Linked DNA regions of Anolis sagrei. The protein of the gene in region 3 purifies or fractionates together with the protein of the main gene of each other region. This does not show direct contact. Links are inferred from orthologs where the notes say so. Each region holds a gene or a part of one and is shown on either strand. Other genes may lie near its edges. The genes, in order: RAB4A, RAB8B, GDI2 and RAB10.

Region 1 (7,757 bases), on a different chromosome or scaffold from region 3:
CATCTACAGAGACCATATAATGCAACTTGAATCTGGCTCAAAAATGCACCTCCAAACTATGGACCTGATCTTTCAGAGGCATGCTGCAAGTCGTCTCTGGTTGCTTCTGGATCGAGAGAATCAGCCGTCTACGAAGACATTGCCCAGGGGACGCCCGGATGTCTTGCAATCCTGCGAGGAGGCTTCTCTCATGTCCCCCTGGGCACACAGAAGACTGGGCGACTTGGAAGGCGCTGAACAGACTGCGCTCTGGCACCACGAGATGCAGAACCAATCTTAAGAAATGGGGCTACAGGGTGGAATCCACGGCATGCGAGTGCGGAGAAGAACAAGCCACAGACCACCTGCTGCAATGCACCCTGAGCCCTGCCACATGCACAATGGAGGACCTTCTTGCAGCAACACCAGAGGCACTCCAAGTGGCCAGATACTGGCCAAAGAACATTTAACCAACTACCAAGTTTGCAAAATCTGTGTGTGTGTGTTTTTTTGTTTTTTTTAATCTGTGTGTTTGTTTTGTTCTGTTAGAATTGTAATACAATGGTATGGTTGCTGATGACACGATAAACAAATAAATCTTTCAGAGAGAGAGCAACCCCTTACAGAGCAGACTATGTCTTAAGACTTACTATGGCAAGAATAAGAGGACATAAGAGCAGGCTTTCTTGGCGGCTGCTCCCAATTTCTGGAACTTGCTGATAGAAAATGAATTTCCTTCTGCAAACAAGAGACTGACTTTTTATTCAAGCATGCCTTTGGCATATAAACTAGTTTGCTGTTGAAGGAGTTCAATGGAATAGGTACTGGCTATGTCTTTCAATGTTCTATTTTAATGTTATGATTTTAATCAATACTTATTGTTAGCTGTATTGTCAAGGTGTCTTTGATGTACTTTTTACTTCCAAGGCAAGGCATGTATGAAATGAATACATTTGTAAATAACCTATTTGTGAATAGAGTTATCTATGTGATTGTGGTACAGTAGAGTCTCGCTTATCCAACATAAACGGACTGGCAGAAAGTTGGATAAGAGAAAATGTTGGATAATAAGGAGAGATTAAGGAAAAACCTATTAAATGTCAAATTGCGTTATGATTTTACAAATTAAACACCAAAACATCATGTCTTACAACAAACAGACAGAGAAAACAGTTCAATACACGGTAACATTATGTAGTAATTACTGTATTTACAAATTTAGCATTAAAACATCTCAATGTATTGAAACAGCTGCGGACCCAGGCAGGAGGGAGACTACGTTGGATGATACAGAATGTTGGATGAAAGAAGGTTGGATAACAGAGACTCTACTGTAATTGTAATACACAAGAAGAAACAATTCTATATCCTCCATATGATTTCATACTAGAAAAAGGTCAGCTCTCAGATCAGAGGTATTTCTTGAAGAAATATGGAACACAGATAGTAGCACTTTGCTGTGGAATAATCTCTGCCAAAAAAAAATGTTTTAGCCTATCCATTTAGTTGTTTGAATTTCACCAAAATAAAAGTATAGTGGTGGTGCTCCATGCCAGGACTTCTTAAAGTTTTGCTTCTCGTGACCTCTTTCCACCCAAATTATTTTATATGCTCCAGGAATATAGGTATATATAAGATAGGTATAAAATCAAACACTGATGATAATAAATCAGAATTTTCAAGGCTTGCTAAACAGGCCGATTTTTCTTTTTGTGACATACAGCTGAAGCATTTGCTTCAAAGTCCACTACAAACACTGCATGGTTTTGTTAAGATTGGTGCAAAAGTGTGGCATTCAGAAACCTTTCCCTTTTGACAACAATGAATCATGGGGACCCCATTTGGGGTTGGACTGACAGTTTAAGAAGCAGTGCTCTATACAGCACTAGGTTAAACCAGGAAGCTCTTAAACATCTTTATCTGCAACAGCTAATGCAGTCTACAAGTAGGACACAATGGCAACAGCTCTCTCCTGCAGTCGCTCTTTGAATTCTCTGTCCTACTGAACTATTTTCTTGTGCTGCCCCACATTTAATATTTTCATACTCCTCTTACAGTTGCAATTTTTATTTTATGCTCGACTCCATACAAAAAGTCATGGCTTTTTGGTAGACACTGACAATGCCTATAGCTATATCTGTGCCCAGAATATGGTCTGGAAGTAATATTTGTTAGGAAGCAAAGAACTAGTTGGAATTGGTAAGAAGGGAGTACCATGTATGCTGAAGTATAAGTTGAATACATGTATAAGCTGTGGACAGATTTCGGGGCCAAAATTATAGATTTTGAGATGACTAGTGAATAAGTCGTGGGTCATTCTGTGAAATGAGGAAAGTGCCACCTTGGCTAACATTTTACAACTCTGGCATTCAAAAGGCCCAGAAGATTAAAGGGGTTAGTGCTTGTTTTAGGTTCCTCCAGAATGGGCCACGCTCTTGCCTTTTGCCCCTCTACTCAGAAAGGACTAGTATTTTAATAAGAGTCAAGTAAGATATACAATAATTACATTGCCCTGTGGATGTGACCCAGATTTTGGGGTTGATTTTTACTGTCTGTGCCCCTGTTCAGAAGATTTCACCTCACTTTCTGTCCCTATGATAAATGGATTTTGAAAAATGTGGAGAATATAATTTTATGAATGGGTTAGTGTCTCAACTTGGGGACTAACAAGGCAGGGCTATCTGTTCCCTGAGGATTATTGTCTTTGTGATTACCCAGTGAATAACCCATCAGGTGGGTCTGGTGCCCATGCCCATTTCTGACCTTACAAATATGCTGTCCCGAATGATGGGATTAAAGAATCCATTACGGGGAAATGGCATTCAGGAAAAACAGTGGCAGAACCTTCCAAATGTGTTGTCGAAACATCAGGAGAGAATGCTTCTGGAACATGGCCATATAGCCCAAAAAACTTACAGCAACCTTCCAAATTTCAGGAAGGGTGCCAGGTGATCGCAAGTCCTTATGGCCACACAAAAGGTTAGCCCAATTCAGGGTCCGGTCATCCTTTGTGAAGTCTGGAATCAATAGAGATGGATTGATTCAGAAGATGATGGGTGCTTGAGTCCTTTGTTGAGGTGGAGACCAGGGAGACACAAGGGGAATCCCAGGTCAAGGCGTGCCAGTGAAAGGTCACCAATGTCATGGTGGTGGCTTCATGGATCCAAAGGTATTTTATGAAATTATAAAACACAAAATATTACAACAAACACACATAAGCAATCCTTTATTGCCTATTGCCTGGGTTTTTCGAGTATGAAGGCAGTGAATCCTCTGGAGCTGGCAGCTGTTGCAAGTCTTCCTCCAGCAAGCCATCGGGACTCAGGGGTTCAGTTGGTGATGTTTGAATCTCCTGCCATGGTCCAAATGAAGACTTTTGCTGAGGTGAGGGATGTCTTGGCTTGACATCAATACGGCAAAAATATTAAATATTTAATTAAACTGCGAATAACATTGTAAAAAAATGTGCTATATTAGGTATTACTCCTAACCATTTGCAATTTTCACCCCAGGTGTTCAGTATTTGTAAATATCTTGAAGTAGTCCTTGCCTTTGGCAGCAATTTCCATACAAAGGTCTATGTAAATATTAATATATGTGTAGGACTTGCTTCTGTTGCCAGCTGTGCTGTGGTTGCTTAGGGTGAAAGCAGAAGACATGGCAATCAATAATATAAAAATACAAAGAGGATGAACAGATACAGGAAACAAAGGACGAAAAGAGGATGTGCTGCATTTTAAAAGAATCAGTGCAGCCTTCAGAAGCAGTTGGGACCGCAGCCCTCAGCATTCCTATATTGGCTATGCTGGGTGCTCCGCAATGTTTGGAGATGTCCCAATAATTTTGATCTACAACCTGTGACATCTTCACGTATTTTTTTAATGTCAGGAATGATTTGAGAAACTGCAAGTCGCTTCTGGTGTGAGAGAATTGGCCATCTGCAAGGACGTTATCCAGGGGACACCCAGATGTTTGATGTTTACCATCCTTGTGAAAAGCTTCTCTCATGTCCCCACATGAGGAGCTGGAACTGACAGATGGAGCTCTACCTGCTCTCCCTGGATTTGAACCTCTGACCTATTGGTCATCAGTCCTGCCAACCCAAGGGTTTAACCCATTGAGCCACTACAATGATAATGTGGGATTTCTAGTTTCCCAAGGGCATCTAATCGTTTGCCTCCTCAGACGCATCTATAGTCTAACGTCACACCACTTTAACTGACATGGCTAGGGTTGTGCAATGGGTTAAACCCTTGTGCTGGCAGGACTGAAGACCGACAGGTTGGAGGTTTGAATTCAGGGAAGAGCACGGATAAGCTCCCTCTGTCAGCTCCAGCTCCCCATGTGGGGACATGAGAGAAGCCTCCCACAAAGATGGTAAATCATCTAAACATCCGTACATCCCCTGGGCAACATCCTTGCAGACAGCCAATTCTCTCATACTAGACGCGACTTGCAGCTTCTATGGTTTCTTCCAACTCTGCTTCCACTGCAGCGGGGGCACGAGCGGTCACGTGGTGCGGGGCCCACTCCCTCCCCGCAGCCCCGCCCCTTTCCAGCAGGGGGGGCGGGGGCAGGAGGAGGAACGCACTTCGGGTTTCAAAACCGGCGCGCACGTGCGTTTTGTTTTGGTGAGAGGGAGAAAGAGCCGTTGGCGGCCCGGCGCGCCTGCGCACCAAGGGAGGCCTGGGGCGGGGCCAAGCGCGAGGAGCTCCGTGCGCAGGCGTAGAGCGGCCCCTTCACGCGCTGCTGCTGGAGGCGCTCTTGGGCTCCTCCTTGCCAAGCTCCCTCCCTCTCTCCCTCCCTCCCTCCCTCCCCTCGCGCTCGGAGCGGGAGGCTTCTCGGGGTGCCCTGGGGCCGCGGCTGAGGCGCCCGAAGGCCCTGCGAACCCCAGCGGCCTCCTCCTCGCGCCCAAGATGTCGCAGACAGCCATGTCCGAGACTTACGGTAGGGAAGGGGAGAGAGGAGAGGAGGGGCTGGCCTTGGCCTCTTCTGAGGGAGGGAAGCAGGGCTGGCGAATGAATGTCTATCCCTCTCAGTGGCCCAGGAGCCCAGTCCTTTCTCTCTTCGCCAATAGTGACCAACCTTTCCCACATCCCTGGACCTGTGGTGGGAATAGGTACCTTTACCTTACAAAGGCCATGACACATCTTTCGCCCTCACGCAAAACAGCATGAAAGCCACAACAGAGCGAGGCCCTTCATGGTGACCTAAAACGCACCAAACGGCTTCGTTGGCTGAGGGGGGAAAGGAGAGGGCCTGAGGCTGTTAGGAATGGTGGGAGTTGAAGTCCAAAACACCCGGAGGGCCCACGTTTGCCCAGGCCTGCTCCAACCCAACTGAACATCATCTGGTACAAAATGCAGGCCCGTGGGCCCATCAACACTGTGGTGGAGGCTCCTCCTTTTGAGGCTTTTAAGCAAAGGCTGGATGGCCATCTGTCGGGAATGCTTTGAATGCAATTTTCCTACTTCTTGGCAAGGGGTTGGACTGGATGATCCATGAGATCTCATCCAATTAAATGATTCTTTATGTAATCCAGATTATGAGTTCCCACCTGTCAGCTCCAGCTTCCCATGTGGGGACATGAGAGAAGCCTCCCACAGGATAATAACACATCCAGGCATCCTCAGGGCACCAGAAGCGACTTGCGGTTTCTCAGGTCGCTTCTGACATGATTTTAAAAAACTGGATCATATGGCAGTGTAGACTGATATAATCCAGTTTTTTAAAATCATGTCAGAAGCGACCTGAGAAACCACAAGTCACTTCTGGTGCCCAGAGGATGCCTGGATGTGTTATTATCCTGTGGGAGGCTTCTCTCATGTCCCCACATGGGAAGCTGGAGCTGACAGGCAGGAACCCATCCCATCTCGCAGTTTAACCCATTGCTCCACCAAGGCTCCACTATATAATCCAGTTCAAAGCAGGTAATCTGGAAGTTTCATGACAGTGATGAGGCCCATGATTCAATACCAGGCATGGGAAAACATTGGCCCTCCAGGTGTTTTGGACTTCAACTCACACAATTCCTAACAACCAGTAGGAGTTGGGAGTCCAAAACATCTGGAGGGCTGAAGTTTGCCCATGCCTGAAACACCATCACTTTTCAATACTTTATAAACAATCTTGCCAATGGAGCCACTAAAAGTCTGCATGAGGTATTTTGTGTGTTATGGTTGGCCAATAAGAGTATTGCACTTTTGTTGATTTTGTTTTATTTTACTGCAAATCCACATTCTCAACAAAAAAGAGGGTGCATGATGTGTCGTGCAAGATTGCTTCCTCCTAAGAGGACCTTGCATATTGCTCCCTGTTCTTTTCCATATCTTTATTTCTGTGCTCTTTTTTAAGGGCTGCTTTTTTCCCCCTACTGGACCAGGAGTGGGAAAAGAGCAAGTAGGAGTGATGTGCATTGGGTTGTTGCTTGAAGAAGGAGTACATGAGAATTGCTTTTCCTGTGAAGCACAGAGCCCTTAAGGCAGGGGTCCTCAAACTTTTTTAACAGAGGGCCAGGTCACAGTTCCTCACACTATTGGAGGGCCGGATTATGATTTGAAAAAAAACCCAACATGAATTCCTATGCACACTGCACATATCTTATTTGTAGTGCAAAAAAAAAAAAACCTCACTTAAAACAATACAATAATTAAAATTAAGAACAATTTTAACAAATATAAACCTATTAGTACTTTAATGGGAAGTGTGGGCCTGCTTTTGCCTAATGAGATAGTATTGTTATTGTTGTTATTGTGTGCTTTCAAGTCGTTTCAGATTTAGGTTGACCCTGAGCGAGGGCCGGGTAGATGACCTTGGAGGGCCGTATCTGGCCCCCTGGCCTTAGTTTGAGGACCCCTGCCTTAAGGGCTTGTGTATCTGTGTATACATTCAGTTCACCTGCTAACTTACGGTGAACCCATCAAATTCATAGGGCTTTCTTTGGGGCAAGGAGTGCTCAGAAGTGGTTTTGCCAGTCCCTTTTTCTGAAATAACAGATAACAGTGCCAGAGTTTTGATGCCAGTCTCCCATCCAAGTACTATCCAAGCTGATCCTGCTTAGCTTCCAAGATCAGATAGACTAGTGCTTTTAGATTAGTTGGGTCCTATGGCATCCTTCATTAAATCAAGCTTATCAGTAATGTGGTCTTTCTCTTTCCCTACTTAGCTTCGAAGATCTCACAGGACAACGTGCCTTTAGTTTATGTAGATCCTTAAAGGACTGCATAATACATATTATTTCAGAAGTTTTTATATCATCCATACATGGTGGGCCAGACCCATAATAAATCTCAGTATTTCTCATCCTTGTTTTCTGGTTCAAGAATACTTTCAAAACAAATATGAGGGAAGGGAGCTTAGTAGTTGTTTATTCATTCAGTCACTTCTGATTCTTCATGACCTCGTAGACCAGCCCAGCTCCCTGTCAGCCGTTGCCACCCCCAGTTTCTTCAAGGTCAAGCCAGTCACTACAAGGATAACATCCATCCATCTTGCCCTTGATCTTCCTTTTTCCTTCCATTTTCTTTAGCATCTTCCCCAAGCTTTCCTGACTTTTCATTATGTGGCCAGAGTACTTCATCTTTGCCTCTAATATTCTTCCCTCCAGTGAGCAGTTGGGCATTATTTCCTGGAGTATGGACTGGTTTGATCTTCTTACAGTCCAAGGCACCACATATGTTATACCACATATGTATAGTATAGTGATAGTGCTGCTACTACAATCTATATCAGACTAGCAAGTGATCCATAATGTCAGAGAGTGTAGAGGCGAATGGTTG
Region 2 (7,763 bases), on a different chromosome or scaffold from region 3:
TTATTATTACGTTTACTTCCACCAAGCTTTTCCCCTCCACAAGGAGCAATTTGTTGTTGTTATGTTTATTTCTACACTATTATTATTATTATTATTATTTATTTATTTATTTCCACCCCGCTTAAGGAGACATTATTAGTATTAATTCCCACCCTATTATTATTATTATGTTTATCTCCATCCCTTTTTATTATTATTAATATTATTATGTTTATTTCCACTCCATTTGTTATTATTAGCATTATTATTATTTATTTATTTATTCCCTGCTTTTTCCCTCCACAAGGAGACATTTTTACTACCACTATTATTATTATTATTTCCACCCCATTTTTATTATTATCATAGAATCCTAGAGTTGGAAGAGACCTCGTGTGCCATCTAGTCCAACCCCCTTGCCAAGAAGCAGGACAATGCGTTTAAAGCATCCCCAACAGATGGCCATTATTATGTTTGTTTATTCCCTCCCAATTTATTATTATGTTTATTTCCATCCCATTATCATTATATTTTATGTCTACCCCACTTTTTCCCTCCACAAGGATATTTATTATTATTTCCACCCCATTCATTATTACTATTGTTGTTTATTTCCACCCCATTTATTATCATTATTATGATTTATTTCCAGCCCATTCATCATTATTATTGTTGTTTATTTCCACCCCATTTATTATCATTGTCATTATTGTTTCCACCCCATTTATAATTATGTTATTATTGTTTATTTCCCCTCATTTATAATTATTATATTCTCACCCGGCTTTTCTTCTCCCCAAGTAGACATTGATTATTACTATATTATTATTATTATTACTATTATCGTCATTATCATTATTATTTATTTCCAACCCATTATTATTATTTCCACTCCATTTATAATTATGTTATTATTGATTATTTCCACCTCATTTATAATTATTATATTCTCACCCGGCTTTTCTTCTCCCCACGTAGACATTGATTATTATTATATTATTATTACTATTATCATCATTATTTATTTCCAACCCATTATTATTTATTTCCACCACATTTACTTTTATTATTATTATCATTTCCACCCCATTTATAATTATGTTATTATTGTTTATTTCCACCTCATTTATAATTATTATATTCTCCCCCAAGTAGACATTTATTATTACTATATTATTATTATCATCATTACCATTATTATTTATTTCCACCCCAATTATTATTATTATTATTATTATTATTACTATTATCATCATTATCATTATTATTTATTTCCACCACATTTACTTTTATTATTATTATTATCATTTCCACCCCATTTATAATTATGTTATTATTGTTTATTTCCACCCCATTTATAATTATTATATTCTCCCCCAAGTAGACATTTATTATTACTATATTATTATTATCATCATTACCATTATTATTTATTTCCACCCCATTTATTTTTATTATTATTATCATCATTATCATTATTATTTATTTCCACCACATTTACTTTTATTATTATTATCATTTCCACCCCATTTATAATTGTTATGATTGTTGATTTCCACCTCATTTATAATTATTATATTCTCACCCCAAGTAGACATTGATTATTACTATATTATTATTATTACTATTATCATCATTGTCATTATTATTTATTTCCACCACATTTATTTTTATTATTATTATCATCATCATTATCATTATTATTTATTTCCACCACGTTTACTTTTATTATTATTATTATTAATTACTATTATCATCATTATCATTAATTTCCACCCCATTTATAATTATGTTACTATTGTTTATTTCCACCTCATTTATAATTATTATATTGTCACCTCAAGTAGACATTGATTATTACTATATTATTATTACTATTATCATCACTATCATTATCATTATTATTATTATTATTATTATTTCCACCCCATTTATAATTATTATATTCTCACCCGGCTTTTCTTCTCCCCACGTAGACATTGATTATTATTATATTATTATTACTATTATCATCATTATTTATTTCCAACCCATTATTATTATTTCCACTCCATTTATAATTATGTTATTATTGTTTATTTCCACCTCATTTATAATTATTATATTCTCACCCCAAGTAGACATTGATTATTACAATATTATTGTTATTACTATTATCTTCATTATCATTATTATTTATTTCCACATTTACTTTTATTATTATTATTACTATTATCATCATTATCATTATTATTTCTACCCCATTTATTATCATTATTATTATTATCATTTCCACCTCATTTATAATTATGAAATTATTGTTTATTTCCACCTCATTTATAATTATTATATTCTCACCCCAAGTAGACATTGATTATTACTATATTATTATTATCCTTATTATCATTATTTCTACCTCATTTATAATTATTATAATTATTATTATTTCCACCCCATTTATTATTATTATTATTTCCATCCCATTTATAATTATTATATTCTCATCCCAAGTAGACATTGATTATTACTATATTATTATTATTACTATTACTATTATTATTATTATTATTTCCACCTCATTTATAATTATTATTATCATTATTTCTACCCCATTTATTATTATTATTTCCACACCATTTATAATTATTATATTCTCCCCCAAGTAGACATTGATTATTACTATATTATTATTATTATTATCCTTATTATTATTATTACTATTATTATACTTATTATTATTTTTTCTCTGTGTTATTCCTCCCACCTGGCTTTCCTTCTCCCCAAGTAGACATTGATTATTGCTATATTATTATTACTATTATTAGGATGAGGATGCTGTGAGGAGTGCCAAGGCGCGGCCTAGCTTCCCCCCTGAGGCCTGCCTGGCGTGATTTCCCTGCCCGGGGCGTGTGGCCCCTCAGCGGGCGGATGGCTTCCCTCCCGGCCTGCCTTCTCCCTTCTCCCTGGTCTGTCTCACCGATGGTGGAGATGAAGGTGGTGTTGAAGGCGTCCTCGCTGAAGCGGAAGAGGAGGCAGGTCTTGCCCACGCCCGAGTCCCCGATCAGCAGCAGCTTGAACAGGTAGTCGTACGTCTTCGCCATCTTCCTCCCCAATGAGCAGGCCCGCACCGGAAGACAGGCCCAAGGCGAGGAGCAGGAGGAGGGGCCAATCAGAGGAGGAGCAGGAGGGGCCAATCCCCGCCCTCTCGCTTCCGCCCGCGCGCAACGCCTCCTGGGAATTGTAGTCTTGTACCTCCCTAATGCTCTGCCCCTGAGCTAGAGACCGGAAGTGTGCCCTGAATTGGGAACCTATTCTTCTTATTATTATTGTTCTTGCCCCAACTCTATTCTCCATCTTCACAGCTATGATTTCTCACCTTGTGGATGGGAAGCTGGCAAGCTGTTTAACCTCAGCAGGCTGAAAGCCAAAACCAAGGTTAGGACAACATGTTATAGAACTCCAGTATGCTGATGACAACGTCATCTGTGCGCATTCAGAAGAAGACTTACAACCTTGTTATAGAACTCCAGTATGCTGATGACAATGTCATCTATGCGCATTCAGAAGACTTACAACCTTGTTTTAGGACTCCAGTGTCCTGATGACAACGTCATCTGTGCGCATTCAGAAGACTTACAACCTTGTTATAGGACTCCAGTATGCTAATGACATTCAGAAGACTTACAACCTTGTTATAGAACTCCACAACATCATCTGTGCACATTGTGAAGAAGACTTACAACCTTGTTATAGGACTCTAGTATGCTGATGACAACGTTGTCTGTGCGCATTCAGAAGACTTACAACCTTGTTATAGAACTCCAGTATGCTGATGACAACGTCATCTGTGCGCATTCAGAAGACTTACAACCTTGTTATAGAACTCCAGTATGCTGATGACAACATCATCTGTGCGCATTCAGAAGACTTACAACCTTGTTATAGAACTCCAGTGTGCTGATGACAACGTCATCTGTGCGCATTCAGAAGACTTACAACCTTGTTATAGGACTCCAGTATGCTAATGACATTCAGAAGACTTACAACCTTGTTATAGAACTCCAGTATGCTGATGACGTTGTCTGTGCGCATTCAGAAGAAGACTTACAACCTTGTTACACAACTCCAGTATGCTGATGACATTCAGAAGACTTACAACCTTGTTATACAACTCCAGTATGCTAATGACATTCAGAAGACTTACAACCTTATTATAGGACTCCAGTATACTGATGACAACGTCGTCTGTGTGCATTCAGAAGACTTACAACCTTGTTATAGAACTCCAGTATGCTGATGACATTATATTAATTTATATTACTATATTATTTTCTATTTGATATCATACCTCATATATTATTTTATATTACTATTACTTATTATTTTCTATTCAGTATTATACATTATATCATTATATATTATATTATTTTCTATTACACATTGTATGATATATCGTTATTATATTATTATTTTCTATTCGATGTTATACATTATATTATATATTTTATATTATTTTCTATTTGATATCATACTATATATTATTTTATATTACTATTATTATTTTCTATTCAACATTATACATTATATCATTATATATTATATTATCTATTACACATTGCATGATATATCGTTATTATTATTTTCTATTCAATAGTATACATTCTCTTATATATTTTTATATTATTTTCTATTTGATATCATACCTTATATATTATTTTATATTACTATTATTATTTTCTATTCAATATTATACATCATTATATATTACTATATATTATATTATTTTCTATTATACATTGTATGTTATATTGTTATTATATTATTTTCTATTCGATATTATACATATTATTATATATTATGTTATTTTTAGATACCATACCTTATATATTATTTCATATTACTATTATTTATTGTTTTCTATTCATTATATTATATTATAATATATTATATTATTTTCTATTCAATATTACATATCATTATATATCATTATATTATTATCTATTACACATTATACGTTATATTGTTATTATATTATTATATTCTATTTGATATTATAATTATTATATATAATTATGTTATTTTCTATTAGATACCATACCTTATATATTATTTTATATTACTATTATTTTCTATTCAATATCATACATTATATTATAGTATTTTCTATTCAATATTATATATTATATCATTATATATTATTATATTATTATTTTCTATTACATTGTACGTTATATTGTTATTATATTATTATGTTCTATTTGATATTATACATATTATTATATATTATTATTTTCTATTAGATACCATTTGTTGTTCATTCGTTCAGTCGTCTCCGACTCTTTGTGACCTCATGGACCAGCCCACGCCAGAGCTCCCTGTCGGCCGTCACCACCCCCAGCTCCTTCAAGGTCAGTCCAGATACCATACCATATATATTATTTTATATTACTATTATTTATTATTTTCTACTCAATATTATATATTATTATATATTATTATATTATTTTCTATTACACATTGTACGTTATATTGTTATTATATTATTATTTTCTATTTAATATTATACATTATATTATTATATATTAATGTTGAACATGGATGGAGCGAGCACGCTCCCCGGAGGCAGGCCGTTCTTCTGTTTCCGCCACCTGCTTCTCTGGCCCTGGAACTCAACAAAGAAGCTCCTGTTTTGTAGCAATTTTCCTATGAGGCGGGTGAGGTGGTCGTCCTTGGTGATATTATATATATGATATATGGTTAGGGATCGGCTGGTTTTCCCTGTAATAGGCAGTAAGAGCACCTAGAGCTTTGGAGAGCTTCTGTTCTACCATCTGAAAGCTCCCTGCTTGAGCGGTGATGGCACGATCATCGGCATAGATGAAGCTCTCTGTCCCTTCTGGCAGTGGCTGGTCATTTGTGTAGATGTTGAACATGGATGGAGCAAGCACGCTCCCCTGAGACAGGCCGTTCTTCTGTTTCCGCCATCTGCTTCTCTGGCCCTGAAACTCAACAAAAAAGCTCCTGTTTTGTAGCAGGTTTCCTATGAGGCGGGTGAGGTGGTCGTCCTTGGTGATATTATATTTATTTATTTATTTATTTATTTGGTTTACTTTTACCCCGCCCTTCTCACTCCGAAGGGGACTCAGGGCGGCTTACATATCCAAGGCACAATTCGATGCCTGTAACATACAACAATGATAAAAACACAATAGCGCAAAATAGCAAACAACAACAGTACATCATATCCATACCCAATAAAACCAATAAAACCCATAAAATATTTCATACAAACCGATACAAACCAATTACTCCTTATTGCCGGTCAATATTCTCTGTCTCATAGTTCAGAGTTCATTCCACAGTTATCAGTCCTGCCGGTCCTATTTGTCTGGCTGTCCTTACTTAGTTGGCAGATTGCCCGAAGGCCTGGTCCCACAACCATGTCTTTATCCTCCTCCTGAAGGACAGGAGTGATGTCGATGTCCTGATATCCGCCGGGAGTGAGTTCCACAGGTGAGGGGCCACCACTGAGAAGGCCCTGCTCCTCGTCCCCACCAGCCTCACTTGGGAAAGCGGTGGAGTTGAGAGCAGGGTCTCCCCAGATGATCTCAGACTCCAGGGTGGGACATAGAGGGAGATACGTTTGGACAGATACACTGGACCGGAACCGTACAGGGTTTTGTAGGTCAAAACCAGCACCTTGAATTGGGCTCGGAACTGAACTGGCAGCCAGTGGAGCTGACACAGCAGGGGGGTGGTGTGCTCCCTGTATGTCGCTCCAGTGAGCAGCCTGGCTGCCACTCGCTGGACCAGTTGAAGTTTCCGAACAGTCTTCAAGGGCAACCCCACGTAGAGTGCGTTGCAGTAATCTAATCGGGATGTAACAAAAGCGTGGACCACCGTGGCCAGATCTGACTTCCCAAGGTATGGGCACAACTGGTGCACAAGTTTTAATTGTGCAAAAGCTCTCCCGGCCACCGCTGAGACCTGGGGTTCCAGGCTCAACGGTGAGTCCAGGATCACTCCCAAGCTGCGAACCTGCGTCTTCAGGGGGAGTGGGACCCCGTCTAACACAGGCTGTAACCCTATGCCCTATACGGCCTTGCGACTGACCAGGAGTACCTCTGTCTTGTCTGGATTCAATTTCAATTTGTTAGCTCTCATCCAGTCTGACACAGCGGCCAAGCACCGGTTCAAGGTCTGGACAGCCTCCTTGGTGACAGGTGAGTAGGAGTGACAGATCTGGACATCATCTGCGTAGAGATAACACCTCAGTCCGAAACTCCGAAACTTATACATTTTTCTCAGGCAGAGGTGGTGGTTCACAGTCTCATAGGCTGCTGAGAGGTCTATGAAGACAGTGCCAGTGATCTGCTGCCTTTCAAAGCCATCTTCCATGTGCTGAGTCAGGTTCAGCACTTGCGATGTGCAAAACAGACTGTTCGAATGTACCTCGGTGTCAGAGCAACTTCCCGCTTCAACCAAGAGACTCTGGATTTATCTTGCAGCTTTTCATGCTCATGTTTCAGGACTTTGTCATGTTCTCATGGGACCTTGCCTTGCCTATGTTTTCATGGATCTTGTTTGCCCGTGTCACCTTGGATTGATCTTTTGAAATATACTTTTGCTTTTTGAACCTTTTAGCTTTTCTTTTAATAAAACTATAAAGACTACTGCTGGTGCGTTCTTTGTTGTCGTGAGCAAGGTGGTTCTACTCTGAGGTGCGACAGAAATTCAATCCCACTAAAAGGCAACTCAACAGTGAACAGTTGAACAATCCGTCAGTCATTTATTAGGTATCAGTT
Region 3 (7,818 bases):
CACCTAACAACCCAATGTATATCCTTCAATCAAAAAATGGATTTTGTCATTTGGGAGTTGTAGTTGCTGGGATTTATAGTTCACCTACAATCAAAGAGCATTCTGAACCCCACCAAGGATGGAATTGAACCAAACTTGGCACACAATTCTCCCACGACCAACAGAAAATACTGGAAGGGTTTGGTGGGCAGTGTCCTTTGGTTTTGGAGTTGTAGTTCATCTACATCCAGAGATCACTGTGGACTCAAACAAAGATGGATCTCAACCAAACTCTACACGAATACTCAATATGCCCAAATGTGAATACTGGTGGAGTTTGGGGAATATAGAATCTTGACATTTGGGAGTTGTAGTTGCTGGGATTTATAGTTCACCTACTATCACAGAACATTCCGAACCCCACCAACGATAGAATTTGGGCAAACCTTCCACACAGAACCCTCATGTGGGCCACAGCAACGTGTGGCAGGGGACAGCTAGAAGCACAATATTAATATTATATATTACATATTAAAATAACATTATACTGTAATATTATCAATAATATTACCTTTAATATAAAATATATAATTATAAGATCATGTTATTAGTAGTAGTACTACATTGTATTACATTATAATATTATCAATATTATATGTATATTATATATACTATATAATTTGGCATATAATTTGTATACGGGCAGTGTATCCCTATATTATTGTTAGTAGTATATCATAACCATAGCACACTATTAATATTATATATTACATAGCACTATATTTATTATTTATTTATTTATGGCATTTATATTCCGCCCTTCTCACACCGAAGGGGACTCAGAGCGGCTTACAATATATATTTTCATACAATATATTATATTATTAACATAGTACAATATCAGTATATATTACTATATTGCACTATACCATTATATTGTAATATTATTAGTAATATTACATGTAATGTAAATATATAATTATAATTATAATATTGAATTATTATTACTAGTATTCATCATCATCATCATCATCACTTTATAGAGAGGGGAGGCCAGGGGACAGCACCATCTTGTCTCCTGCATTTGCCATCCGTTGGGGACCCCTCCCCACAGCACCAACTGCCGCTCTGGGCCAGAGCAAAGAAAGAGGGGCCAGGGGACAGTTCCACCTTGTCTCCTGTGCTATTCTAATAATATGTTATAATATAATATATACATATAATATTTATAATATTGTACTGTAATGCAATATAATACTAGTCCAACGTGTGGCAGCCATGATGCTAACAGGAGCGGGACGTAGGGAGCATACAACCCCTCTACTGTACCAGCTCCACTGGCTGCCAATCTGCTACCGGGCTCAATTCAAGGTGCTGGCACTGGCCTATAAAGCCCTAAACGGTTCCGGCCCAAAATACCTTACTGACCGCCTCTCGGCCTATGAGCCCACGAGGACTTTGAGATCTTCCGGGGAGGCCCTGCTCTCGATCCCGCCTGCCTCACAGGCATGGCTGGTGGGGACGAGAGATAGGGCCTTCTCGGTGGTGGCTCCTCGGCTGTGGAACACCCTTCCCGTGGACATCAGGCTAGCCCCCTCCTTGCTGATATTCCGCAGGAAGTTAACGACCTGGCTATTTAAGAAGGCATTTGACCAATAAGTGCAATGACTGGCAATTGACCATAGGAATGGAACACTGGAAAAGAGATCGGATTGTGACTTGACGATGAGACGACTCGGAATGTAGTAGTGATTTTGTATTGATGTTGTTGTTTGATAAGATGTTTTTATGATTAGGATGAATTGTACACTGTTTTGCACTATGTCTTGTTTTCTTGCACTTGTTTTCTTCATGTTGTACACCGCAATGAGTCGCCCTGAAGGGCTGAGAATTGCGGTATATAAGCGCAGTAAATAAATAATAAATAAATAAATAGTAATTGTTTTTAAATGCACAATGATTTTGTATTCTGTATATCTAAACTTGTAAACCGCTCTGAGTCGCCTAAGGGCTGAGAAGAGCGGTATACAAATAAAGTAAATAAATAAATAAATAAATAGTCGCTCTCCACCAAGGTGCTCCGAGCGACTTACAATTTAAAACAGTTTATACACAATATAAAATATTCAATATAAAAACATTCAACAGTGACTATGGCAAAATTTGATCCGGTTACTTAAGTGAACAACCAAACAGCGTATAACTATATTATTGTTAGTATTGTATTGTATTACATTATAATATTATAAATATTATATGTATATACAACAAACTATATTATATTATTAGGAAAGACAAGATGACATATATTTATAATTTATATTTATATTTATAATTTGCCATATAATTTGTATACTGGCAGTGTATCCCTAAATTACTGTTAGTAGTATATCATTACCATAGCACAATATTAATATTAGTAATATTACATTTAATATAAAATATATAATTACAATATATTATTAGTAGTACTATATTGTATTAAATTATATCAATATTATATTATATATACTATCATATAATTTGGCATATAATCTGTATATTGGCAGTGTATCCCTATATTATTGCTAATAGTAGTAAGAGTATTCCCTGCAGGGAAAGAGAAATGTCTACGGAGGCCCTGAAGGGACAAGAGAGGTGGAGTAGGGGGGGGCGCGGCCTAGTCCTCTCTGCGGAGCCTGCCTCGATTAGCTCCCCTTTCCCGCCCGCTCGCTGGCTCACCGTGAGGCCGGTGCCTAGCACGATCACGTCGTACTCCTCGTTCATGGCGGCGGCGAAGAGGACCTGCTGGCGGCGGCGCCGAGGAGGAGGAGGAGGTGGAGGAGGGCCGGCGAGGGCTTCGCTTCCTTCGCGGGAGGAGGATGAGGAGGAGCGCAAAATGGAGGCGCTTCTGCCAACGCCGCTGTGAGGAGACCGCGCCAGGGGGGCGGGGTTTTGTCCAGGGGGCGTGGCGTAGGCGTGGACTCCCAGGATTGGGGCGGAGCTTCCTGGCGCCTTCACCCTCTCCAGCTGGGGGGCGGGGCTTCGTTGGGTGGGCGGGGCTTGCCGGGACCCTCCTGCCGCCCCAGGCCTCTCCATTGGGCCGAAAAAAATGGGAGGAGCTCGAGGTGGTGTCTGAGCCGCTCCGGCGCCGTCATTGGTCTCCCTGGCGACGTCAATCAACTTTTTGTTTCCTCCCCTCCCTTCTAAGAGACGCTGTCGCTAAGGGGCGGGGCGAAAGGGGGAAGGCCACGCCCCTCGGCGCCGCTGCCACGCTGGTTGGCTCCTGCTGACGTCAGAGCCTGGGAGTTTTGGCGCAGGCGCATAAGCGAGAAGGGACCTGGGGAAAGGTTGCCTTGCAAAGTTTTTGGTGCATAATGAGGTTCTGAGCTCCAAATAAATACATACATCCTGAACTTCTTATATTTTATTTATTTTTAAATGCATTTGACCTTAAAAAAATTGTAATTCTGCAATTGTTATTTTTGCAATTTTAAACATAATTCTGGAATTTTTTCTTATATTTTATTTATTTTTTAAATGCATTTAACCTTAACATATTTGTAATTCTGCAATGATTATTTTTGCAATTTTAAACATAATTCTGGAATTTTTTCTTATATTGTATTTATTTTCTAAATGCATTTAATCTTAATATATTTGTAATTCTGCAATTATTATTTTTGCAATTTTAAAACAAAATTCTGGATTTTTTCCCATTATTTTATTTATTTTTTTAAGTGCATTTAACAATAAAATATTTGCAATTCTGCCATGATTATTTTTGCAATTTTTAACATTAATTCTGGAATTTTTTCTTATATATTATTTATTTTTTAAATGCATTTAACCTTAACATAGTTGTAATTCTGCAATGATTATTTTTGCAATTTTAAAACATAATTCTGGAATTTTTTCCTATATTATTTTTATTTTTAAATGCATTTAATCTTAATATATTTGTAATTCTGCAATTATTATTTTTGCAATTTTAAAACAAAATTCTGGATTTTTTCCCATTATTTTATTTATTTTTAAATGCATTTAACAATAAAATATTTGCAATTCTGCCATGATTATTTTTGCAATTTTTAACATTAATTCTGGATTTTTTTCTTATATATTATTTATTTTTTAAATGCATTTAACCTTAACATAGTTGTAATTCTGCCATGATTATTTTTGCAATTTTAAAACATAATTCTAGAAATTTTTCTTATATATTATTTATTTTTAAAATGCATTTAACCTTAACATAGTTGTAATTCTGCAATGATTATTTTTGCAATTTTAAAACATTATTCTGGAATTTTAAAAATATCTTATAATATCTTGTAATTCTGGATTTATTTTGCAATTTTAACCTAACTCTTGGATTTTAAATATCTTGAAATCTCTTATAATCTTGGATATATATATATATATTTGCAATTTTACAAGGGGCGTTCATTAAAGATTTCTCTCTAACCCACTTCTGTTTATCACAGATTGCTGAAAATGCACATGTGTAATGATCAAAGTCTTTATAGGTTACGTGCCAATTTAATGGTTTTGATGAGACAGGTGCTGAAGTGGTGTGAGGTTTGAGAATGGACCCAGTGGAACACAGAGCAGTCCTCAAGTTCCTTTCCTTGAAAGGCCGCACACCAAGGGAGACGTTCAATGAGGTGAAAAGGATTTATTGTGATGATTCCCCGTCATATAATGAAGTCAAGAACTGGCATCTTCAATTCCAATGTAGTCGGTGGAAACAGCTCCAATACCAGGACGACCGCAACTCCCATCCGATCCCAAGGCTTTCCTCTAAACCTACCCTACAACAACATCTATTATAGAATTCCAGTATGCTGATGACAACGTCGTCTGTGTGCATTCAGAAGACCTACAAGCTGCTCTAAACACCTTTGCAGAAGCATACGAGCAGCTTGGCGTGTCATTAAACATCAAGAAAACCAAAGTCCTCTTCCAGCAGTCACCAGCCAATCCCTCTCCAATGCCAGAGATACAGCTTAATGGTGTAACATTAGAAAATGTTACACCATTTTTAAATGCTTGTGTGTTACTGTTATTGTATATTTTTTGTTTATGTGATTTATATTAATTGTTTTGTATTGATTGTTTTTGTTATTGCCTTTGTTTACTGATGTACTGTGCGCTTGGCCTCATGTAAGCCGCATTGAGTCCTTTGGGGAGATAGTAGCGGGGTATAAATAAAGTTTTATTATTATTATTATTATTATTAAATGTTGACCATTTCCGTTCCCTTGGCAGCCACCTCTCCACAAAAGCCAACATTGACATTGAAATTCAACACCACCTGAGCTCTGCGAGTGCAGCATTTGTCCCAATGAAGCAGAGAGTGTTTGAGGACTGGGACATCTATAAGGATACGAAGGTGCTTGTTTATAAAGCCATTGTCCTCCCAACCCTGCTATACACCTGCGAGACGTGGACAGTCTACAGACATCAACATTGACACTGAAATGCAACACCGCCTGAGCTCTGCGAGTGCAGCATTTTTCCGAATGGAGCAAAGAGTGTTTGAGGACCGGGACATCCGTAGGGATACCAAGGTGCTTGTTTATAAAGCTATTTTCCTCCCAACCCTGCTATAAGCTTCTGAGACGTGGACTGTCTACATACGTCACATGCAACTCCTGGAACGATTCCATCAGTGTTGCCTCCGGAAAATCCTGCAAATCTCTTGGGAAGACAGGTGGATAAATGTCAACATGCCGGAAGAAGCAAAGACCAACAGCATTGAAGCGATGGTCCTCTGCCATCAACTCTGCTGGACCAATCACATTGTCCGGATGCCCAAACACCATCTCCCAAAACAGTTGCTCTATTCCGAACTCAAGAATGGAAAACGGAATGTTGGAGGGCAGGAAAAGAGATGGAAAGACAGGCTCAAAGCCAACCTTAAAAACTGTGGCATAAACACTGAGAAGTGGGAAGCCCTGGCCCTTGAGCGCTCCAGCTGGAGGTCAGCTGTGACCAGCAATGCTGCAGAATTTGAAGAGGCCTGAATGGAGGGTGAAAGAGAGAAACGTGCCAGGAGGAAGGTGCGTCAAGCCAACCCCGACTGGGACTGCCTTCCACCTGAAACCGATGTCCTCACTGCGAGAGAAGATGCAGGTCAAGAATAGGGCTCCACAGTCACCTACGAATCCACAAGGAAACCCATCATGGAAGACCACCACCTACGGACCCACCGCCAGAACACCAACCTTGGAGGACCATCATCCTTTGAGTACGAGTAAGTAAATAAGTACCCTACAATGTCAAAGAAAACCAAATAAGCCGCCTCCATCTCAGAAGAGATCCTGCTGGACACGGATCTCCCGCCTTTCAATGAGCTGCGCCCTGAAAGTAAACCTTTCACTCACGGTGTGAAATGAAGCAGGGATGCTGTTTGCGATTCACAACCGGAGCAGGAGAAATCATTATTACAAGCAAATCACATTTTCTGCTGCCTAATGGAAGGCTTAAGGAAGCAGAAAGCTTTCTCCATTCCGGTTGACTGAGAGGGAAAGTGCGGGCGAGACAGGCCTGGAGGACGGGTCCCTCTGTGACAGATGCAAACCATGGAGCGGACGTAAAGCCTTCCTAAGTACTTTGGCTGCTGAGTCTGCGGAAAGGGTGATCCCTTGCAAACACAAACACACTTCGTAGTTGCATCGCATTTTTCATACGGATGCTTGCCTGGGCCTGCCGAATCAGTCTTTAGCGACTCAAAGCGGCTGGATGAATTAACTGGATTGTGTTCTGCCAAGATTTAGGAGGAAGAGAGGAGAATAAAATCGCAAGCATTGTTCGGCTTCGTAGTTTAACTTTGGAAAGATTTAATTAAAATATTCATTCAACAGTGTTAGGAATTGTGGGAATTAAAGTTTACCCATGCCTACTATATGCTGGAGCCCTGGTGGTGCAGCAGGTAAAACCGCTGAGCTGCTGAACTTGCTGACTGAAAGGTCAGTGGTTCGAATCCGGGGAGCGGGTGAGCTCCCGCTATTAGCCCCAGCTTCTGCCAACCTAGTAGTTTGAAAACATGCAAATGTGTGTATGTTGTAGTTCAACAGAGTAGATCAATAGGTACCGTTCCGGTGGGAAAGTTATGGGACTCCATGCAATCATGCTGGCCACATGACCTTGGAGGTGTCTATGGATAACTCCGGCTCTTCAGCTTAGAAATGGAGATGAGCACCCCCCCCCCCCCGAGTCGGACATGTCTGGACTTAATGACAGGGGACTACCTTTAACTTTACCTAAGGTAAATGGTCTAAATACCAAAAGGCACCAGATCCTAAGTGATCTTGGAATCTAAGCAGGGTCAAACCTGGTTGGTATTTGGATGGGAGACCACAGTGAATACCAGGTGCTGCAAGCTACATTTCAGATGAAGGAAGTAACCATATGGTAAAATCAATATAGTTCAAGCCATTTGAAATGTCTTTTCTTTTTGGGGCTCTTTGGGTATGTTGTACACCAGAGGAGGAACACCTCTGACCTTAAACATCACACCTTGGTAGAATATATGTATGCAAAGCAGTAAAAAATAGCAAAACAGTTGGAGGCCAAAATCCAAGATAGTCCATATGCTTCAAAGGGAAACAAGTCCCATTAGTATATAGAAATCCGCAAAGCAAGACACTTGAAACCATGGAACAAAACAGGAGGAAAATCCCATAGGCAACTTGAGTTTGGCAAAAACTTGATACATGAAACACAGAGCACTTGAAAGCAAGACCGTGATAAAAAATAACAACGTTGACTCGACTGAGGCATGAATCATTATAAATCTTTTCCAGAACCCAAAACTGAAAGGAAAACATTCTTCTTGACTCTCCCACCAGATAA
Region 4 (8,107 bases), on a different chromosome or scaffold from region 3:
GTACAATATCAGTTTTAAATATTGCTATATTGCACTATATAAATTACACTGTAATATTATTAGTAATATTACATTTAATATAAATATATAATTATAATATCATATTATTATTATTAGTAGTATTATATTGCATTACATTACAATATTATAAATATTATATGTGTTGTTGTTCATTCGTTCAGTCGTCTCTGACTCTTCGTGACCTCATGGACCAGCCCACGCCAGAGCTCCCTGTCGGCCGTCACCACCCCCAGCTCCTTCAAGGTCAGTCCGGTCACTTCAAGGATGCCGTCCATCCATCTTGCCCTTGGTCGGCCCCTCTTCCTTTTCCCTTCCACTTTCCCCAGCATCATTCCCTTCTCTAGGCTTTCCTGTCTCCTCCTGATGTGGCCAAAGGACTTCCACTTTGTCTCTAGTATCTTTCCCTCCAGTGAGCTTTAGTCGGGCTTTCTTTCCTGGAGGATGGACTGGGTGGATCTTCTCGCAGTCCAAGGCACTCTCAGCACTTTCCTCCAACACCACAGCTCAAAAGCATCTCTCTTCCTTGGCTCAGCCTTCCCGAAGGTCCAGCTCTCACCTCCGTAGGTGACTACAGGGAAGACCATGGCTTTGACTAGGCAATGGATCTTTGTTGCCAGTCTGATGTCTCTACTCTTCACTATTTTATCGAGATTGGACATTGCTCTCCTCCCAAGAAGGAAGCGTCTTCTGATGTCCTGGCCACAGTCTGCAACTGCACTCATCTTTGCACCTAGAAATACAAAGTCTGTCACGGCCTCCACGGTTTCTCCCTCTATTTCCCAGTTGTCAATCATTCTTGTTGCCATCATCTTGGTTTTTTTGATGTTTAGCTGCAACCTGGCTTTTGCGCTTTCTTCTTTCACCTTGATTAGAAGGCTCCTCAGCTCCTCCTCGCTTTCGGCCATCAAAGTGGTGTCATCTGCATATCTGAGGTTGTTAGTGTTTCTTCCAGCCATTTTCACCCCAGCTTTGCATTCATCCAGCCCCGCACATCCTTGCATGATGTGTTCTGCATACACATTAAAAAGGTTGGGTGAGAGGATGCAGCCTTGCCGGACGCCTTTCCCAACCTTGAACCCGTCTCCTGTTCCGTGGTCAGTTCTGACTGTTGCTCCTTGGTCCTGGTACAGATCCCTCAGGAGAGAGGGAAGGGGGCTTGGGATGCCCATCCCACCAAGAACTTGCCACAATTTATTATGATCCACAAAGTCAAAGGCTTTAGAAGAGTCAATGAAGCAGAAATAGATGTTTTTCTGAAACTCCCTGCCTTTCTCCATTCTGCAGCCTCCGGAGATTGGCAATCTAGTCTCTCGTTCCTCTGCCTTTTCTAAACCCAGCTTGAACATCTGGCAACTCTCGCTCCATGTCTTGCTGGAGTCTTCTTCCTTGCAGGATCTTGAGCATTCCCTTCCTGGCATGATGAGAAATAAGGGCAACTGTACGGCGGTTTGAGCAGTCTTTTGCATTTCCCTTTTTTGGTATGGGGATATAAGTTGATTTTTTCCAGTCTGATGGCCATTCTTGTGTTTTCCATATTTGCTGGCAAATGGCATGCATCACCTTGACAGCATCATCTTTTAAGATTTTAAACAGTTCAGCTGGGATCCCGTCGTCTCCTGCTGCCTTGTTGTTACGCAATGCTTCTTAAGGCCCATTCAACCTCACTCCTCAGGATGTCTGGTTCTAATTCATTCACCACACTGTCAAAGTTATCCTCGATATTATTATCCTTCCTATACAGATCTTCTGTATAGTCTCGCCACCTTCTCTTGATCTCTTCAGCTTCTGTTAGGTCCCTGCCATCTTTGTTTCTTATCATACCAATTTTTGCCTGAAATGTACCTCCAATGTTTCTAATTTTCTGGAAGAGGTCTCTTGTCCTTCCTATTCTGTTGTCTTCTTCCACTTCCATGCATTGCTTATTTGAAAATAGTTCCTTGTCTCTTCTGGCTAACCTCTGGAATTGCACATTTAACTGGGCATATCTCCCCTTATTATCCCTGTTTCCTTTTGCTTTCCTCCTTTCTTGGGCTACTTCCAGTGTCTCGGCAGACAACCATTTTGCCTTCTTGGTTTTCTTTTTCTTTGGGACGTACTTTGTTGCTGCCTCCTGAGCAATGTCGCGGACTTCTGTCCATAGTTCTTCTCTGTTTACTAAATCTAGTCCTTCAAATCTGTTCTTCATTTCCACTGTATATTTATTTATTTATTTGTCGTGTCAGAGCAACCAGTCTATTATATTACATTTCTAACAGAACAAAGCAAACAAACAGAAAAATACACAACTTGTGAGTTTGGTAGCTGGTTAAATGTCCTTTGACCAGTATCTGGCCACTTGGAGTGCTTCCGGTGTTGCTGCAAGAAGGTCCTCCATTGTGCATGTGGCAGGGCTCAGGGTGCATTGCAGCAGGTGGTCAGTGGTTTGCTCTTCTCCACACTCGCATGTCGAGGATTCCACTTTGTAGCCCCATTTCTGAAGGTTGGCTCTGCATCTTGTGGTGCCAGAGCGCAGTCTGTTCAATGCCTTCCAAGTCGCCCAGTCTTCTGTGTGCCCAGGGGGGGAGTCTCTCATTTGGTATCAGCCATTGGTTGAGGTGCTGGGTTTGAGCCTGCCACTTTTGGACTCTCGCTTGCTGAGGTGTTCCAGCGAGTGTCTCTGTAGATCTTAGAAAACTATGTCTAGATTTAAGTCATTGACGTGCTGGCTGATACCCAAACAGGGGATGAGCTGGAGATGTCTCTGCCTTGGTCCTTTCACTATTGGCTGCTACTTCCTGGCGGATGTCAGGTGGTGCAATACCGGCTAAGCAGTGTAATTTCTCCAGTGGTGTGGGGCGCAGACACCCCGTGATAATGCGGCATGTCTCATTAAGAGCCACATCCACTGTTTGAGCGTGGTGAGATGCGTTCCACACTGGGCATGCATACTCAGCAGCAGATATTCAATAGGAATGTTAGTAGTATTAGTCGTAGTATTATATTGCATTACATTACAATATTATAAATATTATCTGTATACACAATATATTATATGATAACCTATCATTAGAATAGCACAGGAGACAAAGTGGCAGTTGGTGCTGGGGGGGGGTCCCCAACTGATGGCAAATGCAGGAGACAAGGTGGAGCTGTCCCCTATATATTATATATATATTAGAGTATACATATATAAACATACATTGATATACTAAAATTCGACGACTGGGGATTCATTCCTGGGTCAGTTCCACAGGGAGCCTCTCAGGGAAGCAAGTAAGGAAGGGGGAAACAGGTGAGCCTGAAATAAACCCCTGCGCATGCGCGGACAAGGCCACGCCCCCTCCAGACCGTTGGCCCAACCGTCGTCGCAGGGAGATCTCTCCCCATTCGGAGGGAGGGAGGGAGGGAGAGCGAAGCCCCGCCCCTTTTCGGGGATGCCCCGCCCACGCTTGAGTCACTTCGCCGCCACGCGATTGGCCAGGGTATGTGTCTGTATATCTATATGTGTGTGTGGGGCCTCCTTTGCGCACGCGCACGAGCTGAGCTCTTACGTCAGAGCAGAGCGTGAGGGAAAAAGAAAAGGCCTGCCTTGCGTGCCCGTGCGTCCGTGCGTCGTCGGGCTTGCGCACGCCTCCCTCTGCGCACGCGCACTAGCCTGAGCTTGAACGCCACAGAGCTCCGCCCCTTTTCCTCTTGTGTGGAGAGGAAGAAAGGAGCGCTTCTGCGCACGCGCACTAGCCTGATCTTGACACCAGAGCTCCGCCCCTTTTCCTCTTGTGGAGAGGGTGGAAGAAAGGAGCGCCTCTGCGCACGCGCACTAGCCCGAGCTTGACGCCAGAGCTCCGCCCCTTTTCCTTTCTTGTGGAGAGGGAGGAAGGGAGCGCCTCTGCGCAGGCGCACTAGCCCGAGCTTGACGCCAGAGCTCCGCCCCTTTTCCTCTTGTGTGGAGAGGGGAAGAAGGGAGCCCCTCTGCGCAGGCGCACTAGCCCGAGCTTGACGCCAGAGCTCCGCCCCTTTTCCTTTCTTGTGGAGAGGGAGGAAGGGAGCGCCTCTGCGCACGCGCACTAGCCTGAGCTTCAACGCCACAGAGCTCCGCCCCTTTTTCCTCTTGTGTGGAGAGGGGAAGAAGGAGGGAGCGGCCGGCCTAGACGTGCGCATGCGTGCGTGCGGCCTTGCTCTTTTTCCCCCTTTGAGAAAGGGAGCGGCAGGCCGGCGTGCGTGCGTGCGTCCGTACGTGCGTCGTCGGGCTTGCGCACGCACCGAGCGCCGCCTGTCTCTGCGCACGCGCACTAGCCTGAGCTTGAACGCTACAGAGCTCCGCCCCTTTTCCTCTCTTGTGGAGAAGGGGAAGAAGGGAGCACTTCTGCGCAGGCGCACTAGCCTGAGCTTGAACGCCAGAGCTCCGCCCCTTTTCCTCTTGTGGAGGGGAAAGGAAGAAGGGAACACCTCTGCGCACGCGCACTAGCCTGAGCTTGAACGCCAAATTATTCCTCTCTTGTGGAGAGGGGAAGAAGGGAGCCCCTCTGCGCACGCGCACTAGCCTGAGCTTGAACGACACAGAGCTCCGCCCCTTTTCCCTCTTGTCGGCCCCGCCCACGCTTGAGTCACCTCGCCGCCACGCGATTGGCCAGTGTGTGTGTGTGTATGTGTGGCCTCCTTTGCGCACGCGCATGAGCTGAGCTCTTACGTCAGAGCAGAGAGAGAGAGAGAGAGAAAGGAAAGGCCGGCCTTGCGTGCGCGCGCGTGCGTGCTTGCTCTTTTTCCCCTCTCAGGAAGGGAGCGGCAGGCCGGCTTGCGTGCGTGCGTGCGTACGTGCGTCGTCGGGCTTGCGCACGCACCGGGCGCCGCCTCCTTCTGCGCAGGCGCACTAGCTGAGAGCTGAGAGGGGTAAGGAAGAAGAAGGGAGCGGCCGGCCTGGACGTGCGCGCGCCCGTGGCTGCGTGCGTGTGGCGTGAGCGCGCGTGCGGCCTACTCTCCTGCTCCTCCTCCTCTCGTGAGGCGGAGAGACAGTGACAGAGCCTGAGGGAAAGAAGCGAAGGGAAGGGATGGAGCGAGCATGAGGCCCAGCGCCGCCCGGCCGTGAAGGAAGGAAGGAAGGAAAGGAAGGAAGGAGCCCACCGGGAACACCCCACCGCCGCCGCCTCCCTCTCCGCTTGGCCTCTCCTCCACGCCGGCCGCCATTTTGTGCCTCCTCCTCCTCTTCGTCCCCTCTTCTCCTTCTTCTTCTCCCCTCGCCGGGGCTCTCCTGAGGGAGGAGGAGGGCTCGAGGGAGGGCCTGGCGTGTCCCGGAGCGGGGCGTCGCCGTCGGGCCCCATGGCGAAGAAAACCTACGACCTGCTCTTCAAGCTGCTCCTCATCGGCGACTCCGGCGTCGGCAAGACCTGCGTCCTCTTCCGCTTCTCCGACGATGCCTTCAACACCACCTTCATCTCCACCATCGGTGAGCAGGCCTCAGGGGAGGGGAGGGCAAGGGGGCACCCCAAACACCCTCCCCTCCTTCCCTCTTGCCTTTCCTCTCTTCCTTCCATCTATCCTTCTTGCCTGCCTTCTTCCTTTTCTTTCCTTCCTTCCTTCTTCCTTCCTTCCATCTTTTCTTCTTTCCATCTGTCCTTCTTGCCTGCCTTCCTTCCTTCCTTCCTTTTTTTCTTTCTTTTCTTCCTTCTATCTTTTCTTCTTTCTATCTGTCCATCTTGCCTGCCTTCTTCCTTTTCTTTCCTTCCTTTTTGCTTTCCTTCCTTCTTTCATTCCTACCTTCTTTCCTTCCTCCCTTCTTTCTTTTCTTCCTTTTATCTATCTTTTCTTCTTTCCATCTGTCCTTCTTGCCTGACTTTTCCCTTTCCCTTCCTTCTTTTTTCTTTCCTGCCTTCCTTCTTTCATTCCTTCTTTCTTTCTTTTCTTCTTTCCTTTCTTTTCTTCCTTCCATCTTTTCTTCTTTCTATCTGTCCTTCTTGCCTGACTTCTTCCTTCCTTCCTTTTCTTTCCTGCCTTCCTTCTTTCTTTTCTTCCTTTCTTCCATCTATTCTTCCTTCTTTCTTTTCTTCCTTCCATCTTTTCTTCTTTCCATCTATCCTTCTTGCCTGCCTTCTTTCCTTCCTCCTGTTCTTTGTTCTTTCTTTCTTTCTTTTCTTCCTTCCTCCTGTCCTTCGTTTCTTCTTTCCTTCCACCCACCCACCCATCCATCATTTTTCCTTCCATCTGTCCTTCTTGCCTGCCTTCTTCCTTCCTCCCTTCTCTTTCCTTCCTCCTTCCTTTCTTCCATCTTTTCTTCTTTCCATCTGTCCTTGCCTGCCTTCATCCTTTCTTTCTTTCTTTCTTGCCTGCCTTCTTTCTCCCTTCCTTTTCTTTCCTTCTTTCTGTTTTTCTTTCTTTCCTCCATTCTTTCCTTCCTTCCATCCTTCTTGCCTGCCTCCTTCCTTCCTTCTTTCCTTCCTTCTTTTTCTTTCCTGCCTTCCTTCATTCCTTCTTTCTTTTCTTCCTTCCTTCCTCCTGTCCTTTGTTCTTTCCTTCCTTCCATCTATCCTTTTTTTCTTCATCTTTCCATCTATATTTCTTGCCTGCCTTCTTCCTTCCATTTCTTTCCTTCTTTTTTCTGTCTTTTGTTTCTTCCATCCATTCTTCTTTTCTGCCTTTCTTCCTTCCCTTCCTTCCCTTCTTTCCTTCCTTCCTTTCCTTCTTGTTTCCTTCCATCTAGCCTTCTTTCCCGCCTTCTTTCTTTGCTTCCATCCATCTATCCTTCATTCTTTCCTTCCATCTATCCTTGCCTGCCTTCTTTCCTTCCTCCTGTTCTTCTTCCTCCCATCCTCCTTTCTTTCCTTCCTTCCACCTGTCCTTCCTTCCTCCCCCCCCCCAATCATCATCATCATCATCATCATTTCCACTGGGAAAAATTGCCTCTCTTTTTTTTATTCACATGCCTTTATTTCATTAATGATACTCATCTGCAAACACTGAAATATAGAGACTGTTCTTTGAGCCCCACACTCCTTTTATCCTACTCTCTTTAGACCAGGTGTGATCAAACTTTGGCTGTCTCTCCAGTGTTTTGGACTTCAACTCCCACACACCAATCAGACACATGCCTCTATTGACATGCAAACACAAACTGTACTAACCCTTGAGCACACAACTACAGAGAAAATCCTGCAAACCTCATACTCACAGGCTGTTGATCTTTATCCCTCATTAGTCCATTCATTTTAGGTATTGCTAAATTACGACACTTTTCAGAACATTTGTCTAATTCATGAATTCTACAATTGACATTCCCTCCCATCATTTCAGTGAAAAGATGGTAAATCCCAGTCTTTCTTGAAGCTGGTTGAGGATTTCTTCCTGATCAGCATCATCATCAGTTTGTTCGTTTTGGGTACTTTGCAGATCTTTTGGTGTTGGGGTAGCTGGCTCCTTCCATCCCTGTGCATAAACAATTCTTGCTGCAGTTATCATCTTCCATATTTTCTTCCGGGTTGATGGTGCAGGATTCCCAAGACATACAACTCTGGACTGGTCATGATTTTTAACTATAATAATTCCTTTCAGCATCATACATATTTTGAATTTATTATTTCTGGGCCTTTTTTTTTCAAAACCACTGACATATAGTAAAATATCCCAACCTTTTTCTCACATTCCAATATTTGATTGAACTGCCTTTGGACATCTAAGGAACTCTCTGCCATCAGGAAAAGGGTAATCATAGAATCAAAGAGTTGGAAGAGACCTCCTGGGCCATCCAGTCCAACCCCATTCTGCCAAGAAGCAGGAATATTGCATTCAAAGCACCCCTGACAGATGGCCATCCAGCCTCTGTTTAAAAGCTTCCAAAGAAGGAGCCTCCACCACACTCTGGGGCAGAGAGTTCCACTGCTGAACGGCTCTCACAGTCAGGAAGTTCTTCCTCATGTTCAGATGGAATCTCCTAATGTCGTAGTAGTAGTAATAATAACAATAATAATAATAATCTTTATTTATACCCCGCCACCATCTCCCCAATGGGGACTCGGGGTGGCTTACACAAGGTCAAGCCTGAACAACAAATTACAGCAAAATAAATCCAAAAACACATGCAACAAATAATATTAATAGAATCATAGAGTTGAAAAAGACC

The links.
Region 1: the proteins of GDI2 (region 3) and RAB4A purify together in Homo sapiens (co-immunoprecipitation; 3 studies listed by BioGRID and IntAct, with this or other methods). This does not show direct contact. The link is inferred for Anolis sagrei from reciprocal best matches to the Homo sapiens genes GDI2 and RAB4A.
Region 2: the proteins of GDI2 (region 3) and RAB8B purify together in Homo sapiens (affinity purification with mass spectrometry; 3 studies listed by BioGRID and IntAct, with this or other methods). This does not show direct contact. The link is inferred for Anolis sagrei from reciprocal best matches to the Homo sapiens genes GDI2 and RAB8B.
Region 4: the proteins of GDI2 (region 3) and RAB10 purify together in Homo sapiens (co-immunoprecipitation; 3 studies listed by BioGRID and IntAct, with this or other methods). This does not show direct contact. The link is inferred for Anolis sagrei from reciprocal best matches to the Homo sapiens genes GDI2 and RAB10.

The regions. Positions count from the first base shown.
Region 1 is NC_090021.1:61,134,267-61,142,023, forward strand, and holds the start of RAB4A (ras-related protein Rab-4A), read left to right. Parts: upstream 1-4,690; 5' UTR 4,691-4,895; coding exon 4,896-4,926; intron 4,927-7,757. UniProt on the Homo sapiens protein: The small GTPases Rab are key regulators of intracellular membrane trafficking, from the formation of transport vesicles to their fusion with membranes.
Region 2 is NC_090029.1:2,132,285-2,140,047, forward strand, and holds the start of RAB8B (ras-related protein Rab-8B), read right to left. Parts: upstream 3,107-7,763; 5' UTR 3,060-3,106; coding exon 2,936-3,059; intron 1-2,935. UniProt on the Homo sapiens protein: The small GTPases Rab are key regulators of intracellular membrane trafficking, from the formation of transport vesicles to their fusion with membranes.
Region 3 is NC_090025.1:193,951,226-193,959,043, reverse strand, and holds the start of GDI2 (rab GDP dissociation inhibitor beta), read right to left. Parts: upstream 3,058-7,818; coding exon 2,701-3,057; intron 1-2,700. UniProt on the Homo sapiens protein: GDP-dissociation inhibitor preventing the GDP to GTP exchange of most Rab proteins. By keeping these small GTPases in their inactive GDP-bound form regulates intracellular membrane trafficking.
Region 4 is NC_090021.1:1,393,457-1,401,563, forward strand, and holds the start of RAB10 (ras-related protein Rab-10), read left to right. Parts: upstream 1-5,014; 5' UTR 5,015-5,313; coding exon 5,314-5,440; intron 5,441-8,107. UniProt on the Homo sapiens protein: The small GTPases Rab are key regulators of intracellular membrane trafficking, from the formation of transport vesicles to their fusion with membranes.